Linked DNA regions of Schizosaccharomyces pombe. The gene in region 1 interacts genetically with each later gene. Each region holds a gene or a part of one and is shown in the gene's direction. Other genes may lie near its edges. The genes, in order: ubp11, vrp1, rsv2 and plb1.

What was found.
Region 2: mutations in ubp11 (region 1) and vrp1 together harm fitness less than expected from each alone (positive genetic interaction), as found in Schizosaccharomyces pombe (one large-scale study listed by BioGRID).
Region 3: mutations in ubp11 (region 1) and rsv2 together harm fitness more than expected from each alone (negative genetic interaction), as found in Schizosaccharomyces pombe (one large-scale study listed by BioGRID).
Region 4: mutations in ubp11 (region 1) and plb1 together harm fitness less than expected from each alone (positive genetic interaction), as found in Schizosaccharomyces pombe (one large-scale study listed by BioGRID).

What each region holds. Positions count from the first base shown.
Region 1 is NC_003423.3:1,675,822-1,680,490, reverse strand, and holds ubp11 (ubiquitin hydrolase Ubp11), read left to right. Parts: upstream 1-1,886; 5' UTR 1,887-2,914; coding exon 2,915-3,967; 3' UTR 3,968-4,139; downstream 4,140-4,669. Other genes in the region: DNA-directed RNA polymerase subunit Rpc10, read right to left, coding at 4,512-4,627.
Region 2 is NC_003423.3:3,053,223-3,059,314, forward strand, and holds vrp1 (verprolin), read left to right. Parts: upstream 1-2,042; 5' UTR 2,043-2,252; coding exon 2,253-3,051; intron 3,052-3,103; coding exon 3,104-3,234; 3' UTR 3,235-3,537; coding exon of another isoform or gene 3,538-4,838; intron 4,839-4,853; 3' UTR 4,854-4,995; coding exon of another isoform or gene 4,996-5,108; 3' UTR 5,109-5,169; coding exon of another isoform or gene 5,170-5,234; 3' UTR 5,235-5,581; downstream 5,582-6,092. Other genes in the region: SPOM_SPBC13E7.07 (uncharacterized protein), read left to right, coding at 1-110; RNA polymerase II-associated Paf1 complex protein Leo1, read right to left, coding at 383-1,481, 1,672-1,862; transcription factor TFIIIB subunit Brf1, read right to left, coding at 3,538-4,838, 4,996-5,108, 5,170-5,234; rbd1 (rhomboid protease), read left to right, coding at 5,910-6,092.
Region 3 is NC_003423.3:3,531,227-3,535,807, forward strand, and holds rsv2 (DNA-binding transcription factor Rsv2), read left to right. Parts: upstream 1-1,701; 5' UTR 1,702-1,704; coding exon 1,705-3,618; 3' UTR 3,619-4,062; downstream 4,063-4,581. Other genes in the region: SPOM_SPBC1105.13C (uncharacterized protein), read right to left, coding at 534-962; 3-hydroxyacyl-ACP dehydratase Htd2, read right to left, coding at 4,177-4,581.
Region 4 is NC_003424.3:1,073,810-1,078,579, reverse strand, and holds plb1 (lysophospholipase 1), read left to right. Parts: upstream 1-1,886; 5' UTR 1,887-1,961; coding exon 1,962-3,803; 3' UTR 3,804-4,249; downstream 4,250-4,770. Other genes in the region: SPOM_SPAC1A6.11 (uncharacterized protein), read right to left, coding at 4,726-4,770. UniProt on the Schizosaccharomyces pombe protein: Catalyzes the release of fatty acids from lysophospholipids. Required for survival under high osmolarity, for normal osmotic stress-induced gene expression, and for nutrient-mediated repression of sexual differentiation.

The sequences.
Region 1 (4,669 bases):
GAAGAAAAGCAAAAAGATGAAGAATGGAAAAAAAGAAAACAAAAATTAGAAATGCAAAACAAAAAAATAAAGTAAAGCAAGGCAACGCAAGCCAAAGACAGAAAAGCAGAAAAGGTAAGGAAGTCGATCAATTTGTAAATGGCGCATTCATCAATATACCAAGTTGTCAGATTAGCAAATGTCAATGTACGGTACGATGGTAGCGGCGATCGCAGGGTAGACAGCGAGATAGCTGATAAAGAAGGGAATAAGTGGGGATATAGAAGGGGAGTGGAAAGAAAGGAAAGGAGGTGCGAAAAGGAGTTGTAAAGTAGGTTTGAAGGATATGAAAAGTTGGACTTCAAAAAAAAAAATTTGTTGATTAATTTTTACCACATCTTTCCATTGATGTCTTTGGGATGTACTTGCGGATAGACGAGAATAGATTTTAACAATTAAGAGATAGGCGAGAGTTGACGAAAACATAAGACGAAATTTTACAATTGACAATCAAGGAGAATACAATCGACACTAGAAATCGACAATCGACAATCGACAATTAACGTTTGACAATCAACGTCCGACGATTGAACAATTTCATTTCTACTAATCAACCCAATTTCTCTTTGTCTTTTCTTTTTTCTCCTATTTCCTATTTCCTATCTCTGTTTTACTTTTCTTTTTTTCTATCATTTGTCTTTCTTTCTTTCTTATGGATCTCCTTCATGCGACGAGACCATGACTTTGGCATGAGTTCTACTTTGCTTTGCTCACGCAACTCTCACATATCACATATCCTCACTCATGCGCTTCTTATTTTCCAGACCTCCATGTGTTCTTCGCATGCGCACCTTTCTTTGTTTACACTCGGCGTGCACAAGTCTTTCTCTACCTATGAGCTTTGCTATTCTCATCCTTCTTTTACCCTTACGATTCTTGACCTTTCTTATTAACGGTCGAGCCTCCGAACTCCTAACCACTACATCAACCATAGGCTACGCTTTTCATAAGCAACTTGACTGCTTGGAGCCCGGGTTTTCCTTACTGACCCCGCAATTCCACTACTGTATTGGATTGGCGGATGCTTTTTTTTTATTCAGCCAATGAAATGAATCAATTGCATCTGATTTGCAATTTACGCAATATAAACTGTCCATTCACATCAACTAACCAATCATACAACTGACATTTGCCGTGTCTGATATCGCTTCAACGTGTTCTTGGGTGACGTAAATTTTTCTCGAATGTAAACAATGCGACAAGCCCTTTTGTTTCTTTTCTTTGTCTGCAATCCCGTCCATATATACAGTCAGAGGCAACACCTAACATACTGACGGCAGACATCAAACACCGATGATGGATGGAGAAAAGAGATAACTTTTTGCTATGCTTCGTTGAATATATGCTTCATCAACTGCCCATCCTTTGCTAGTTTTTTTTTGCATTGGCAAATGAATTTATTATGGTTAATCATTCAAAAGTAAAATTCAAAAGTTATTGACATTACAAAAAGAATGTACCGCTTGTTCTCTTGTCATACCTTCAACGTCTTCCTTTTGTTCCTTCTCCCTTCTCCTTCCTTCTCTTTCCCTCTCCTTACTCTTCCTTCTTTCTCCTTCTTCCTCCCTATTCTTCCTCCACTTCACCTTCTTTCCTACTCGTCCTCCTTGTCCTCCCTCTCTTCTCCCTAACAAATCATGTTGCATCTCCCTAACTGGTATGCGGAGGGCTGCACAAATAAAACTTCATTCTTTTCCTTCTTCCACCAATCGTCGCTTTTACGCATCATTGCAACCCCTTGGGCTTGCCGGCAAATACAAACGTCGCTGCCAATGCAAAAAACCTTTTTTTCGTCTCATCAGGCGCATATTTATGCTGAGGGTTTGGCCCTCCTGTCCCTCTCTTCCAACCTGCTTTTTTTCTCTAAAGGTTGCTCTTTTATACACATATCTGATTGCAAATTATTTGCTTTGTGTCGTACTTGTGAATGAGTGAGCTTTCTCTGCAAAAACTTTAATACCTTTACTTTTATCTTAATTTCTCCATCAAAAAACAATCCATACCGACAAATCGGCACTGCCTCCCCATCGTCTAATCTTACCTTACAAAAAATCCTTCACACATAATCAAGTGAAAAAAATCTCCCATCTTTTTTGGATCCCTTTTTTTTTCTTCTTCGAAAAAACTTTTGTCTGTTTCTTATAGACGCCTCTTGCCTTTTTTCTTGTTCTTGATTCCATCGTAATTTATTCTCTTTGATAGGATCGCTATACTTTTTTTTTCTCTTTTCTTATTTTTTTTTTTTTAAATTGTGCTATTTCATTTCTCTACAATTACTTCCTAACGTTTTTTAATTTCTTTTTCTTTTTTATCCTTTCATATCTTATCGCCTATTTCATCTATTGCGATCGCTAAAATTGCAAAGGTAAAATCATTCTACCACTTTCAACTTTATCTATTTATTTATTGACTCCCTCCTCCCAAAAAGTAATATTTGTGTCTTTTGTCGCATTACTCGACAACATTCTAATTGCTGACACTTTTTTTGACAACTGTTTTTTTTTTTAAATTTGCCTTTGTAAAACTTTCAAACTTTTACTCATCCTATCACTGATTATTTCCTAAAAAGGTTGTTTTATGCTCAAAAAGTTTGGTTCTTATTACCTCGTCTCCCTAACTATACCTATATTGTACGTTATTATCGTGTCCTTTACCTCACCGCCATTGGACTCGTGTTATCGTTTATACCAATAAAGCTAGTAACAACAACCTAGTGGATATATGCTGTGACTTAACGCTCGTCTTCTATTCTTATTTCCCTTGCCAAAAAAAATTTGTTTTTATGCATAAATTTTTTTTTTCTTTTGTAAATTATATTCTCTGTTACCTCTAATAATTTCTTTTCCCTAATTCTTCATTGCATGCATTCATTATCATGTCTACAACGCCATTGTCCATTTCTAGGGCAAAAAAATACAAAACAGTTTTCAAGGGTGCCGCCATTTTAACTACGTTTGCTGCCCTTTACATCGTTACCTCTCCTTCCACTGGCAAGAGGTTGGTGAAAAACGCCTCCATCAAAGGCCTTTACAATGTTTCGGGTAACGATTGTTTCCTCAATTGTGTTTTGCAATCCCTAGCAAGTCAAGAATCATTATTGGAAATCCTAAAACTCCGTTGTTCTTCCTCTACCTTATACGCTACCCTTTATGAACTTCTGCAAAAATTAAATAGTGGCCCCGGTAATCCAATCACTCCCGGTTCCTTCCTCAATTCATTAGAGATTGCCACTAATAAAAAACTTGTTCGTTCCATTCAACAAGATGCACAAGAGTTTCTACAACATCTAGTGGAAACTTTGGAACTTCAAAAACCTCACACTTACAAATGGTCGAAGGTACTCTCCTTTCCTGTAGATTCGCCATTCATAGGAACTATGGAGCAAAAGGTACAATGTTGTCAATGCCTTGCCATTAGTATTAGTTATTCTACTGCCACATCGATACAGCTTTGTCTACCTCCGGAGTACAGTGGAAATTCTAACGTTTCCTTGCTCTCTTTAATGGAAGCCGATCGCGAACAGCACATCTCTGACTATAAATGTGACTCTTGCTTCAAATCCTCCCCAAAACATTCCAAAACTTCATGCATTCGTACCGTTGATTGGAAAAATCCTCCTACGATTTTGCAAATTCAACTTGAGAGAACATCATATACCTGCCAAGGTTTAACCAGAAATAATGTTTCTATCTCATTTCCTAGCAAACTTATCCTAAAAAACAAACATCATTATATTTTACGATCCTTAATCACCCATTCCGGAAGTGTTACTTATGGTCATTATCTTTGCTATAGACTTCAAGATGACATTTGGTGGAAGGCTAATGATTCTTTAATTACTAAATCATCTCTCAATGAAGCTCTCAGTCAAACTCGTTCAGCTTGTCTTTTGTTTTACGAAATGGAATCTCCTCTTGCGCTTGATTAGCGCATATATGCTAGTTAATCGTATACGTTTTTGTACCTTAATAAAAAATTCTTGATATTTCTCCTAATGATTCCGACTGATGTCACCCTTTATAAACTGTTGAAAGCTTCAAATTATAACCTGTTGTTTTGTAGCTAAAGCATTCAATACTAATATTTTGCAAAACTTGTGTATGAAAATATATGTATGTATGTATCCACCGTATCTGTCCATAAAATCGGTTTTCTTGACTTTAAGATTTTCAAGTGGACGATTTTTTATAGGCATGGTTAAAGTACACATGGCACTTTCAAACCGTCGCCAAATGACTTATAATTTACTAAAAAAAATTTTAGATATACTCATCATGTACAATTCACAGTTTTTAATGCATCAAATATCCAAAATGTTATTATTGTCATGGGTTATCCATTTAACCCCAGGACCTTCTAATTTCTCGAATTAAGCATAAGGACCTGCATATTACACCATTTTTAAGCCATTTCTCAAATTTTAAAAGTTATAATTCCGTTTTTCTCTTTTCATAGTCTGAAAACTCTAAAACTTAGCGTGCTTCGAACTGAACCATTCTCTTGGTTCTCATTTTGTACATAACACGATGCCCACACTCTCGACAACGAATAACTTCTTTCGCTTGGATTGTATTACGCGCTCCGCAATCTGATGGTCAGTCTTTTATCATATACTCATTTAATTCTACTC
Region 2 (6,092 bases), 1.4 Mb from region 1:
CAAATAGGCCTCGTGGAGGGCTAAACAATTCTAGCCGTTCTGCTTACTCTTATATTAACAACGGTCAAGCAGGCTCTTCCAAAGGTAACCGATATGATAGTTTGTGGTAGGAACTCATATCACGCTTTAATGATCACAGAAATACATCTCAACACCTAATCCGCCATATTTGCTTTAAAAAAAGTAGTTTTATTTTATATAGTTGCTCACTACAATTCTCGCTATTGTACATGTGAATCCCATTGCGTTAAAAATTAGACAAGATATAAGAATAATGTACAATTAATAAACATCTTTTAAATCAACGAAATAACACAGAGACCATACTTCGCAAACAAACAAATTGGCTATTTACAAAAATTGAATTACAAGCTGTTTGGATTTATTCGCTATCGCTCTCAACAATCCGACGCTTCACTCTTCTTTGTACAGAACCATCACCGACAGAAGTCTCTGTAACGGTCTCGGATCTGTCAGTTTCCACTGCGCTAGGAATTACCTCATCGTCTTCATATTTATTAATAGTAGCTCGTGCTACACTTGCTTCTTTATCCGCATCAAATCCTTTTATATCGGAGCCAGCTCCAACTTCTTCTTCATCCTCTTCATCTTCTTCTTGTTCCTCTTCTTGTTCCTCTTCCTCTTCCTCTTCCGCTATAAAGTCACCAAGGTCATCTTCTTCATTTTCTTCCAGATCCTTATTATAACCACGATATTGACCAGCTCCTTCTTGTTTAATTCGTTTTAAACGATCCATACGGTCACTGTCAATGATTTCATTTTGTTCGCTATAAGTAGAACGGGGACCGTAGAAGGAAGAGTAATCCTCTTCTTCTTCTCCTGTTCCATTCTGATAATTGTTCAATTGCTTTCTTTTCTCTAAACGTCGCCGAGCTCGACTTCGTTCCTCCTCATATTTTTCAGCCTGACGCTTTAGTAGTTCTGGATCCTTTTCAATAATAATTTCTTGTACGCTTCGACTAGGAACCTGGACTGTGGTGAGACGCATAGATGGCAATTTTGATCTTGTAGCAGTGTTAATGGCTGAAGGGAGGAATGTAAAACTGCTTTTGAAGGATGTTTGAACTCTCAGTAAATGTTGTGCTTCATGTGAGGCAGTAACAAAAGTTGGTTGAGATATTAATTTATTTTGGGTATCATATATGTCGTTACCAATGCGAAGTGAATATGAACCATCAGACCATTGTACAATTTGCGCATTCGATTGATAGCTTCCAGACGGCCCCAATCGCCAGCGGACAGTATTATCAACTTTATGTTTTATTCTTTGACCCCAATGCGCGTCGTGTTCTAATAAAGCTGCATCTGCTTCGGCTTCCGCGGCGTACTGCTCTGGATCGTACGGAGTCTGTTCCACAGAAAGGAAATTTGGAATATGAGCATGAAACACGTCATTACTAGCAGAAGCTGGTGATTTGAAATTGGGAACAGCGACTTCAAGGACTTTCTTTACAGGAACACTAACATTTGTTAGGATGCATAGATTTAAATAGCTTGCTATAGTAAAAGACGCTAATTTTTGATTTTTTACTAAAAAGCCTCATGAAGCGATTTATTACTTTCACCACTGTGGCAGCTGTATAATAAATACACATTTAGAACTACCATCGGCTAGAATCAATTCGCTTCATCTATAAGACTGCAACTTACTCTGCTTCAGGGGCTTCAGTAGCCTCTTCTGTATTCGAAAACAAGCCGTCATCGCTAACGGCTGTTTCACTATCGTTTTCTATATGGCCATTTATAAGTTCATCTTGCTGCGAAGTATGATTGTCTTCATTCTCACTAAACAAATCATCTTCCTCTTGACCGTTGCGGATGTCTTCTTTAGAATCCGACATTAAATCTATTTAAATTCCTCAAAAATTCACCAGTCTAAACTTTCCAGATTGGTTCCGGTCAGAATACGTATGGTGTTGTACTAAGATGCATTAAATTGAATAATCACTAGAAGGTACAATCCTGTTACTTGTAGTGCATGGTGGTGGTAGAAAGCTTAGGGTAGCTCATAGTTAAAACCCATACCCGTGTTTCCACTTTATATTTTGAGTTATATTTATTATTGTCAAAGTATATAGCGAATATTTTTTGTAAAATCATTTAAAATCTGATAATTTAACTTTTACTTTTATTGTATTGTTAGGTGTACAGGCGAATTATCTACTATTTTGATTACAGACCTCAAGCTTGTTAAGATTTATTTTTGATTTTTAATTCTTCCTTCTTATAAAATGGCACCTGCACCACCGCCTCCTCCTCCAGCACCAGCGCCTGCTGCTGCTGCTCCGGCCCCCCCTCTAATGACCGGAGATCGATCAGCTCTGCTCAATTCTATCCAGAAAGGAAAGAAACTAAAAAAAGCTACAACGAACGACCGATCGGCTCCCGTTGTCGGAGGAGGTGTCGTAGGCGAACGTAAATCTAACACTCCAAAAAGCTTTGCTGCTCCTCCTGTACCCACAGGCGCACCCTCTTTACCGACTTCTTCAAATAATACTCAGCAAGCAGAAGAGAGACCTTCCATGCCTGCATTAGGAGGTTTATTTGCTGGCGGCATGCCTAAGCTTCGTCATATTGGAAAGTCAAGTGCTTCAGCCGCACCACCTTCCGCTCCTGCTCCTCCTACTCCACAATCTGAGTTGCGTCCGCCAACAAGTGCGCCCCCTCGACCTTCAATTCCTCCACCATCTCCTGCATCTGCTCCACCTATTCCTTCAAAGGCACCTCCTATTCCATCGTCTCTACCTCCACCTGCACAACCTGCTGCACCGGTGAAATCTCCTCCTTCAGCTCCTTCATTGCCCTCAGCGGTACCTCCGATGCCACCTAAAGTTCCTCCACCTCCTCTATCTCAAGCTCCTGTTGCTAATACATCATCACGCCCTTCTTCTTTTGCTCCACCAGCAGGACATGCACCTAACGTTACATCAGAATCTCCTAAATTTCCTAATAGAGGTCCATCCATTCCTTCAGCTTCTGTTCCTCCAGTTCCTCCATCTTCTTACGTCTTGCAGCAGCGACCTAATCGTGGTAAGTTTGCGATCATTAAAAGCATTATTTTTTTATTAACACAAAACTCTAGTTGATGATCATGGAAGATTCCACTTTAAGGATGATAGTTACTTACCAATTCCTCATCCCTTTCTTGGAGTCCCTAAAGTTTATCGGGGTGGTAGTGGCACTACGGTCCCTTTGAATCTCTCTTCATTTTAACAAATCTTTTTAAAGCTGTGTACGATTAATCTACTACCAGTGTTTAGTTGTTAAACACAGAATTTTCTTTCGTTAGATGGATACTAATAATTACTCAGTGATAGAAAAAAACTAAAAATTCATGCGGCCTTTTTTATGAATATTAAAATTATTTATAAAGATTCATTAATCCTTATAAATAAATCGTTAAATAAACTCTAAAATTAATAAATTAATGTATAAAAAAGGATTATCGTACAACAAAAAAACGAATGTTCTTAAATAGCCCCAAAAAACTCCCAATTGCCCAAATTTAGTAAAAAGTTACGACTGCTCTTCGTCAAATAACATATCCAAAGCTTCATAGTTGATTTTTTTTGAAAAAGCTCTTTGTTGCATCATTTCTTTTGCACTTTCAGCAGCAGTATCGGCTATTCCATCACTAGTGCTATCTCTAGGACGATATCGTCTTCTTTTACGAGGTTGTCGGACAATTCCTTTTTTTAAATCTTCTTGGAGTTTTAAATTTTTCGCCTCTTCCTCAGCTAAATAATCTTTATTCAACTCCATCCAAACTTGAGTTTTAGTCAATATTTCATCCTTGTCAAGCAAAATATCTTCAATTTCATCATCATCAACGTCTTCTAAGGTAACTTCTTCCTCCGAAAATTTAACGTTAACTTGTAGAGAAATCTTTCTAAGTTCATCGCCCTTAAGGGTTTCAGTAACCTCTTTCCTAATTTCTCTTTCATCGGCCTTCAAATGCACAGGAGTTTCTTGAGATTCAACTTTTACTGTTTGCGAAAGCTCTTCAGACTTAACTTCGTTGCCATCAAAATCCGGGGTCCTTTTAATAGGGGACATGTATTCTTGTGTGTGATCAATGTTTGAAACTTTTTGAGCACCGTATTGTTGAAACTTTTGATTTTTAGTAAAGCTAGGAGGATCGCTCTGTCCTTCCAGCCAAATGTTTCGAAAGTCGGCGATTGAAAGATCACCGCTCTCAGTTAATTTAAACTCATCAAGGCGTTTTTGAATAGTGATATCCGCAACTTTCACGACATGAACCACTTCTCGTACGCTTCGTCGAAAATTATTCATTCTTGCTGCAATGAGTAAGCATGCACCACAAATTCCAGCTGGCCGACGACCAATTTGCATCCAGTCTCTATTCATTCGCGCTACCAATCTGATAGCGTCGTTTGCGACACGATGTGTTTCCGGTCCAAATTCGAGTAAAGAAGCAAATCTACTGATATATAAAGACGGATCTAAAAGAGGTAAATTAGGCCTTAAAACGCGGCACAACTTGAGAAAAGTAGACCCAAGCTTAAAAACGTTAATTTGCAAAATATCAGAAAAATCGATTAACATATGAGACGTCTTAGATATCCGGCAAACAATATACAAACAGGATGCAACAACGTATTGCGATCTCCTTCCTTTTATAAAGTTGTTGTTAATTGCCAGTGTAAAGTAGCGAACTGCTGCTTCGATATGGCGTTCGTTAAGTTTTAAAGCAATTGCCAATGCCGAAATTCGGCGACGTCCGTTTGCAATGGTAAGTTCTCTGGATTCTACGGATCCTTGATTTCTGTAAGGGCCACCAAAAGTCCGAGCATGAGCTAAAGCTGTGTTAGATATAAGTCGATGAAAAATATGGACGAAGAGGTGTCTATTAGTAAAAGATCAAACCAAAATTTAACACAGACTGAACAAAAAAAGGTGACTGCATCAGAACTGTAAAACACCGCATTGCTGGATGATTGCCTTCTAACTTACTTTGATCATTACTCACAAGAGAACCCTGAACAACAGCTGCACCAGTTGAAGCCTCTCCGAATGTCACTTCCGAAACAATTGCATCTTGCTCGACGACAACACCGCATTGTGTACTATTCAATGGTTAGCAGTCAATTGCCACGTTAAAATTATATAATAAAAAAAACAACTTACCAATATGTATTTCCAGAAGCGGTATCAGATTCAAAAGTAGTTGAACCGCAATTTGGACATCCCATGGCGAATAACTGAAAACACTTGGGCGTTAGCTGTTTGGGAAATGGTATTTATCAAAGATTAAGTTTAACCCACATGGAGTACTTAAGTGGGGGGGGGGGAAAGAAATATCACTGCAAATATGCATACTAGCATATATTTTAAAGGTCTACAGAGAATTTAATCGGGTTTAATTGTTTGTTATTTTATTTTGTTTTTTTGTTCTTTTTTAATGGTTTGGAAATGAAGAGCGTTAAAATAAAATTAAAAATAGTAAATTGAACTTTGCTTCTGTATATGGTATTTGGACTTTTTAGTTTAATATATATTATAACAATTTTTACTAGTAAATTCTCTAGTTTATCTCGAGCATTGCAAGTTTAGCAAATGATTAATGAATCGTGACTATATGGTTCATTAAATCTTTTTATGTTAATTAACTTGTTAAAAACATTGTTTGGCATATATATTTATATAAGATTATGCAAGTAACGTAATTAGGAGAATAAAAAGTAAGACAGAATATATAAAGAAATAACTTAAATTGCTTGAAGTTAAATAAATATTGGTAAAGATCTTAAGGTACTGTGAGAAGCGTAAGCGGATTCTTATTTCTCTATCTTAGGCAACACTAGCGTTTCTATGCATACAACCTCATAGTCCTTACTCACCTTTTCTCACATATATTTAATACGCAGATGAATCGTTTGAATTTTCAAAGTTTACTCTGGAAATTTGGACAAAAAAGGTTTTATTACAGACCATGGATCAGAATTGAAAATATTAAACCAACACCATTATGGAAACCGATTACATTTGCTGTTGGTGTTGGTTCTGCCACCTTTTATACGGCCAATTATCTCGATAAAAGAAGAAAAAAC
Region 3 (4,581 bases), 1.9 Mb from region 1:
CGTTTGTCAGTGCAATATTGAATGGTAAGTTTATTAATTGTTCCACTCATCGACTAAATAATAAAGTAGAAAGACGAGACATTTATGTGTATGCTAGAACACACTGGAATCCATTTGTTCACGAGTTGTTCTCGTAATAACATAATGATTGGTATTGCCGTGTGTGAATGCCAGTGATTATTGATGTTTGAAAGACTACAACTGATAAAAAGATAGTTGCACTAGTGATAAAAGTCTGTTGAAATTGGTATGCTCTAAAAGTCATTTGTACTTGAGTAAGCAGTCATATGCGTGTTGGCTATCCATCTGTTTGACTTGTTTGAAAATAATACACATGGGTTATGCTTTTCACAAGAAAGTAGAATAATTGATTCCTACATCTGCATCATCCATATCGATCGGTAAAGTATACTTTATCCTACGAATTGGTTTCATAGTTAAATCACTCCTCTGCTTAGCAGCTCCGCATCCCCTTCGTGTACTAGCCAATCTCATCGACATCGACAAATTGACTTCACCTGAGTTAAGCATACTTAATTCAACTTAACGAAGTGCAACCCACCACGACTGACCTCTGTAATCTCGGAAAACGGATAAGACGGTTCAGTACGTTCGCTAGTAAGAAGCATGCATGCAAAGGTACAAGAGCAGGCTTCCCATGCAAACTGAGAAAATAATCCCTGAAGAATTGCTAGTAAGCCAAATTGCAGCGCCTCCAAACATCCTTCTATTAAGGACCAGAAAGAATGATGCTGATGACTAATTTTTGGGTTATGCAAGAAGCATCTGGCATTTTCTTTAACTTCTCCACGAATAAGGAGAAGGTCACACGACGGAAGCGTGGAATAATGATGAGTTTGATCGTCGGTAAACTCCCCCAGAGTAGCGAAGATCATCGGCATCGAAAGAAAGAAGGGAAGGAAAAAAAAAAGTAAAAACGACTTGATGAATTCCGTGATCATGTAGGGTAACGGAAGACGAGATTACCGAGTTTAAGTAAGCAATCGAGGTCTGCATTGCGATGCCGATATGGTGATCGGGAACATGAAGCACTTGATTGACTTGAACATGTAGGGAGGAAATTTTTTTAGCGTTTTTAGACTTTTCATTTAGCTGCTATCTTAGGAGTAGCGTGACACGGCGCAAACGAAAAACAAGACATTTGTTGTACCAAACATCCTCAATTCCATCGCATCTCTAAAGTACGAGTAACTAGAGTAAGATGCAAATCAACGTCGTGATATGACCTAAAAGTATCGTGGACTTGATTCATCCTTCAATCTCATCTTTCCCCGACTCCGCCTCTTCATTTTGACCTCATTCTATGATTGCTTTTGGAATGAAGCTTGCAGCGTATTCCTTCATTAGTGCGTTATGACTAACCGCGATATATAAGGTGATTTAAGTACTGGAAGCTCGCTTTCCATATGAGAGGACAGCGTAGAGCGCAAGTCGCAGATTGAAGGAATGTAATTGGGGTTCGCTTACACATTACGCGCTTTTATTTGAAAAGAACGAATCAGCAGCACTGCCAGCGCATTCTGACATTTCCATGCTACTTCATTGGCGGCCTCTGATTGGCTCAATCAATGTAAAACGACGTCAATTGCTAACCAATGTTGTTTGACAAGGGTGGTTTTTTCAATCAGACGCTTGACGTCATTCTTTATATATACATTGCCTCGCGCATCTTTGCTGGGTAGTATGGACACTACAAACAACACATATGCAAGATCAATTTCTAGTAATGGGAACGATAACTTTCCCACTCCAGATTGGCAATTTAATGGATCCCAATTGCAACAAAATCGTAAATCCAAAATGAATGGTCGCTCTGTGACTAATGTATTTCCGAATGCATTCTCGGATGCTGAATTCGAGCAAATCTCGATGCCCGAACTCAATTTAAAGCGTTTTAACCCTACTACGTTAGAAGAAAATAACTCAGATTTATCTGATATGTCCTCCTGGGACTATATGATGAACGTTCCCATTCGTGTCTACAACGATGCTGACACAATGGACCCCTTCTCCCTCGACACTATTCCCGATTCCTCGATGGACATGCCATTTGATCCCTTAGCATCTGACTATGGTAACGCTGCTAACTTTCCAAGTGTCCCTTCGTCCCTTGGCAGCAATCATCAATTTATCACCACACCTCCTGTCAACGGGTCGAACGAACCTACCTCGGCTCAAACGAATCACATTATTACTGCTAACAGTTCCCCCAGTGGAAATGCTGGGAGTAACGCATCTGCAAGCATGTCCGTCCCTCCTCCTCTTACTCCATCTGCTTCCACCATTAATGACCAGCCCTTCTCCAACTCTTTCGATTTACCTAGTCAGGTGATTGCTGATGGCACTGGCGCGATTTCCGACATCAACGGTAATCCATTTCCCATGAATTCTCCACCTTTGGATATGGAACCGTTGCCCTCGATATCCATGGATGCAAGTGACTCTGTCTCCGAACAACTTGTAAAGGACGCCTCTCTTCCTAGTGGTCCTTTTTCAACCGATTATTTGGAGAATGGAAGTGACTTAAAAAGGTCACTGGGTCACAATCAAAAGTCAGACAGAGTCTCAAAAGATGTCTCACCTCAACACCAAGCAAATCCCTCTACCCTTAACAATCCTCTCAAGACCCAAAATTTTGATTCCTCTAAGAACCTTTATACCGACAACAAGGATTCCTCCCTTGTATCTCCAACGGGACTTCAATCCCGTATGGAACAAAATCCGGAAGTGCGGGCGCATCCTATGAAGGACTCGGCGACGAGCACTGCGTTACGCCGTTCTCATGCTCTGGGAGCTGCTGCTGACTCTCTTCTTCCTCAAGAAAACTCCGCTCAGATATATGATGGGAAGGATGTATCTATGGTCAATGATAACATGCACTCCGATGTTCGGCAGGACAGCTTCAATAAAGAATCTATTAAACAACGCATCCCTTCTTTGTCTCCTCCGATAACGCGATCATACAATGCCAAGCATCGCCCCTCCTTGGTGCTTGGTACGTCGGTAAATCCACATTCACTTTCTCCTTCACAGCCTCCTGTTGTCGTACCTTCAAATACTACGATCAGCTCCTCTCCTCCACTCACTTCTCCTGTTAAAACCTCTGCTAATATACCTAACTTATTACCGACTTCAGAGTTAGACAGTTCCAACGCTCCTCACTCTCAATCGGCTGCTACTCATGACCTAAATGACGTTAAGTCGTATTACAATACTAGGTCTTCTCATTCCGTGGTACCTAATCCAACCAACCAAAAAGTAAGCATCACCGGTGCTGCTGCTGATGGCCCCAACGGATCTGCTCCTGTTGACACCACTCCTACAAATTCTTCTACTACTGCTACGGGTGCTCAGAGGAAGCGTAGGAAGTTTAAATTTGGTAAACAAATTGGTCCAGTTCGGTGTACTCTTCAGAACAGAGTTACAGGAGAAATTTGTAACACAGTGTTTTCTAGGACGTATGATTTGATCCGTCACCAGGATACGATACATGCTAAGACACGACCTGTATTTCGATGTGAGATTTGTGGCGATCAACGCCATTTCAGTAGACATGATGCCTTGGTTAGGCATCTCCGTGTGAAACACGGTAGATAAATTGAAAGGAGTCTCTTCTGCCACAAATATTAAAAAAAGGTTATTGCATTATCTATTGTCATTTTTCACCTCTTACGCTTCTTCATTGATTCCTTGTTTATGAATTTTAAAAAAAGTTGCATTTTGCTAATTATTTTCAAGAAAAAAATTGGTACCGTTATTATTTCACAGCCCTTTTGAAAGTGCTTTTTCCTTTGTCTCCTTTCATGTACATTTATCATCTTAATTTTGCCTCTTCATTTCATCGTATCCTCAAGCTTCATGTGTAATTTCAAACCCCTTCTCCGTCTAACGGTTTCCTTTTTTATTTTGGACGGTCATAAGTGTTTTTATATTTTGTTTTCATTTTTATTGGGATTGGTTAATATTGTTTTTTTTTTCTTACCAAGTTACTGTTAAATGTTAATAAAAAATTTTGTGTGTTTTCACCTTAAATTGAATACCTATCATGTAATTTGATTTAGTTTTACATACTTAAATTTTAATATTAGTAAGTAGTATTTGTAATTTAGAAATATTTTTTCTGCCGGTATTAATTATTATTGTTTTTCAGTTATGTTAGGTATAGACGCGGCCTCTAGCAATCAAAGACGGTGGATCAAGGTCTGTAGTAAATCGATCAATCCATAGGTTACCTGTCTCTGAGATACATATGCGTAGTGGTTGATTGACAAACGCGGGAGATAATAATCGAAACTCAAATCTTTTCATGTTCTTTGACATTTGGGGATAAACAGAACGAAAGTACTCTAACATACTAGTCACTAGAAGAGGACCTGGAAGAACGAGATTTGGATAATTTTCGGACTTTGTAGCGTATGTCGCATTCCAATGGATCATATGAGCATTAAACATTAATGCTGAATAGCGAAACACCATAATAGGTGTAGGTGTGAATACCCAAGAGTGTTGTGGAATACTTTTGCTACGTAAAGTTTTTGGTATAGCCAGTTCTTGTCGATT
Region 4 (4,770 bases), on another chromosome or scaffold:
AGTTTACGAGCCTAAATGTACTCCACGTCATGGAGGGAAAGGTAACTTGGAAGGTTAGCCCCACACTTTCCTTAACCCCATTATCTCCATTTTTCAATGATGTCAACGTAAAAGGTGGAAGCTCGCTTGTTCCGAATGACGGCGAATAGAAACGTAGAATTTTTCAAACCGTAATTTGATTGGCGGAAGGTTTGGTTTTCATGAATGTTCTCCACACTATGGGAAAACGAGGGGAGCAAAGTGAACAAAATACTGAGAGGTGATTGGATATGTCCCACTTTTTCATGTGATGCTCCTCATTTAACTAATAATTGGTGCGAAAATTTTCTTGCTCTTGCGGTAGACATTTTTGCACTGCGCATGTGTTCCTCCATTGTTCTAGACTGCGTTCCTCTACACCACCCCGCATTTGTTCGTCCGACTTTAGGCTCTTTTCCTTCTTCCCCGCCAAACTTTTGAGCGGATACTTGCCTGATTTCTTACCGGAATGGTGAGGGGCGAACACCTTTAGAATAGTGTTTCAAACACTTTTTTTTGGGTTTTGGCGGGGTTAAACTGACGAACAACGAAGAAAAAACAAGAATTCTAACAATTTACAACAGAATCCGTAAAAAAATTAGAAGCTTGTCTGACCAGCGGTAGTATAGAAGGGTTTAAACGGTGAGTAGAGTGTTTGTATTTTTCCCCAGTGTACCTTTTGCCAGTAGACAAACATCCCATCCTTTCTTGTGGGCAGCGTTATTTTGATGATAACTCTATCCCACTATTACTCCAGTTGCTTGGATACATCGTCGCAGCTCTGGACCAATGTTGCAGTTGCTTCCTAATTTTTAGAGGGTCAGTTGCCGGTACTCACGGGGCCCCAGACATGGATTCTGTCAAGATTGTGGGGTAGATGCAAGTTGAAGTCAAAAAAATGAGAATCAAAAACTTGAAAATAAAATACATAAAATGATTTATTTTATTTTTCTTTGTATAATCCATGTAAAATTATAGACTGTATGCACTGAAACCTTGTTCCGAGCGACTGGTCCCAGGTATATAAGTGGTGCTGGTGCACAGGCATTTTCACCACCATCGCAATCAAACAACTTTCCTTGATCTGTTCATTGTTTCAAAACAAAAAATTCCGTTTTTTGGAATCCCTAATCATCTTCCTTACTTTTATTTAAATCTTAATCCATCCAAGCGAGGAATTTTGCATTTTCCTTTCTTGTGATTGCTCCCTTTTTCTTAGCTCTTTGAAAAATACCCCAAAAAAGAAAACACTAACACTCTTTCGGTTAGAGAGCGTTTTCGCATTAGTTGAATCCAAAAACATATTTTACGATCCAACACTGTGATTTGGCTTAATTTCTTTTTTCAGTGATTCCCTCATTCCTTCATCATAATTTCTCGTATCATCATCACACTTTTCTTTCCTAGTGTATCCTTTGGTGCGATTTCCGGTTTTCTCGTCGTTATTCCTTTTTAATTTTCTCTTTCTTATTACTCACTCAAACAAAAAAAGGTCGTCGTGGACTTTTTAAATCGTTGTACTTTTAGCACTTTCCTACATCTTCCTTTTGAATATTTATTATTTATCCTTTAGGGAAAAGATTTTATTCATTTTGAACCTTTGCATTAAACTTCGTTTGCCAGGTTCTTTCATTTTGTTTTTAGTCCCGTTTTCCTGCCTTCTTTAGTTCTATCTATTGTGGGGTTTGTGTTTTCGTCCACTATTTGCAAATTCTAGGTTTTTGTTACTTTACCACTTTTTCCTCTCCGACTTACGGAATAGTATCAGTCCGAGATCTTGATTGGGTGTCATTCGGAAAGTAATACACTCGTGTGACGTTTATTAAATTTTTTTTCTTATATACCCTTTCCGTCCCACTCCCAACTTTGAACGTTCATTTGGGGATTTAATTTGCATACATCTTTGCATATCTATTCTCAACATTTTAGTTTAAATATTCAAAATGCTTTTCCGCGGATTAAGCCTGTGGATGCTCTTTTTGGCATCCTGCCTTTCTGCCCTTGCTCTTCCCGCTGCTGAAGACGATGGTTCTGTCAAGGTCTTCAAGCGTGCCAAGAAGCATAGCACTAAGCAAGAGGGACCCAGTTACGCTCCTTATTATGTGGACTGTCCCTCTGATAACATTGTCGAGAGTCTCTCCAGCAATGAGATTCCTAGCGCCGAGTCTGAATACTTGAGCACTCGTTCTACTATTACCAACACTGCCATGAAGGACTTCCTTCGTAACGCCAACTTGCCTGGTTTGAATGCCGATACTCTTTCTGGCTCTGAAGGTCCTTCTATCGGTATTGCCTTGTCCGGTGGTGGTTTACGTGCCATGATTTTGGGTTCTGGTGCCCTCTCTGCCATGGATGCTCGTCACGACAACCACACTGTTTTGACTGGTCTCCTTCAAGCCTCTGACTATCTCGTTGGTACTGATGGTAGTGCCTGGACTGTTGGTGGCATTGCTCTCAACAATTTCAGTACCATTAACGACTTTAGCAAACTTTGGGCTTTCAACCACCCTTTGATGTATCCCAAGAGTGCTATTGTTTTCAACGCTCATTTCTACAGTTCTATTATGAATGAAGTTGCCGAAAAGGCCAATGCTGGCTTTAACATCAGTCTTTCCGATTACTGGGGACGTGTGATTTCTCGTACCCTTGGTGACACTACTTATGGTTTCCCTAATGTCTCTTTGTCTAGTATTACTTCCCAAGAATGGTACCGCAATGCCAACTTCCCTTACCCCATCATTACCTTTGCTACCCAAAACTATGGTGAGGATATTAGCAATGTTAACACTACTTTCTTTGAAGCTTCCCCCAACGTTTTCGGTACCTTTGACCATGGAATCAACTCCTTTATTCCTACCGAATACTTGGGTACTACCTTAAACAATGGTGCTAGCAGCAATGGTTCTTGCGTTATCAACTATGACAACTTTGGTTTCATGATGGGTGCTTCTTCTACTTACTTCAACAAGATAATGCGTAACTTCAATGACTCTTCTACCAAGAACGGTCGTATCATCCAACAATACTTGAAAGGTAACTTTTCTGAAAACGGTCAACAAATCATCTCCATTCCCAACCCCTTCCAAGGTGTTGAGAGTGCTAATTCTGATGCTGCCAACAACTTGGGTTCCAGCTCTTCCCTTAACTTAGTTGATACCTTCCTTACTGGTGAGAAGATTCCTTTGTGGCCTTTGTTGCAAAAGGGTCGTGATGTCGATGTTATCGTTGCCGTTGACAATGGTGATGACAGTGAATGGCTCTGGCCCAACGGTAACTCTCTTGTCCAAACTTATGAGCGTGTCGTTGCTGCCCAAGCTGCCGGAAACACCAATGTTAAGGGTTTCCCCTACGTTCCTAGCCAACAATCCTTTGTCAGTCTTCACTTCAACGATCGCCCTGTCTTCTTTGGTTGTGATGGTCGTAACACCACTGCTGGTAACCACACTGTTACCCGTGACACTCCTCCTTTGGTTATCTATCTTCCCAACGTTCCTTACAACTACTTCACTAACATTTCCACTGATCGCACCTACTACACTGAAGACATGATTCAACAACTTCTTACCAACGGCCTTATTTCCTCTACCGTTGACAATGACACCTACTTTGGTCAATGTTTTGCCTGTGCCGTTGTTAAGCGTACTTTGGAGCGTAACAACATCACTGCTAGCCCCGAGTGCCAACAATGCTACTATAACTACTGCTGGAGCGGTCTTTATGATGACAGCGCTGCTAATGATGATATTGTCTACAATCCTACTTGCCGTCTTGGTGAAGGCATTTAAGGAAAGGCGCATGCAAACTTTTCTCTCTTCAGTATTTATACGACATATCTGTTGCTCACAAGCAAAAGATAGAGGGCAATGCTTATGCCTGGAAAAAAGTTTTTAAAAAAAATCTATACAATGTCTGCTGTCTTAGCATAAATCAAACCTAGCCATATATGTGAATCAATCCAATTACGCGATATGGGTTTTTGTTAACGGATTATTAAACTGAACGTTCACTCCGCTCTAATTAGGGAGACTATTTTGTTATCTTCCGAAAGTATTTTATTCTAATTTACCCTCTCTTCGGAATGTTTTTTGTTCATTTTCTATTGTGAGCTTTCGTTTGCTGTAATTCAGTTTTGTTGACGGCTCCAAATTGGACGTGTTCTAGTTGTTTATGAGAGTTGCTGTTATATATAGTTGCGAAAATAAGTCATTTTTTTAATTCTTGGTTGTAATAAGAATGTTGTTTGTCTATATAAATAAGTTGACTGTAATTTTTTTGTTTTGTTTGATTCAAAAAATTATTATTTATATGTATATATTTTGTATGATAAAATTTGATTTTTAAAGGTTTGCTATACTTGAACAAGGAATAGTGAACTTTAACATACAGCCTATAATTCATTAATTAGGATGAGGAAGGAGATGTAGAAATGAAAAAATTTAGTTAACGTAAAACAGATTATACGATCATTTACAAATTATATCAACTGTACGCAATTTAATCAATGAAGTAGTGGGGATGTAGATGAGACAGTATAGAATACATCACAACGAGTAATGGGAGAAAAAAATTGTAGTAGTTGCGCGGGTTTTGCTCGGCCTCGGGCTTTACTTTCTAATCCGATGACTGTGAGTTACGTGTTTTGCAAAATTATTTAGCAAGTGTGCATTTTATGCTTTAAGTCTAAACGAAATGGGATCCGAGTTAACTTTAAGTTGAGGCTTTGCTTTTGATATAGGTATGCGCATGCGATTT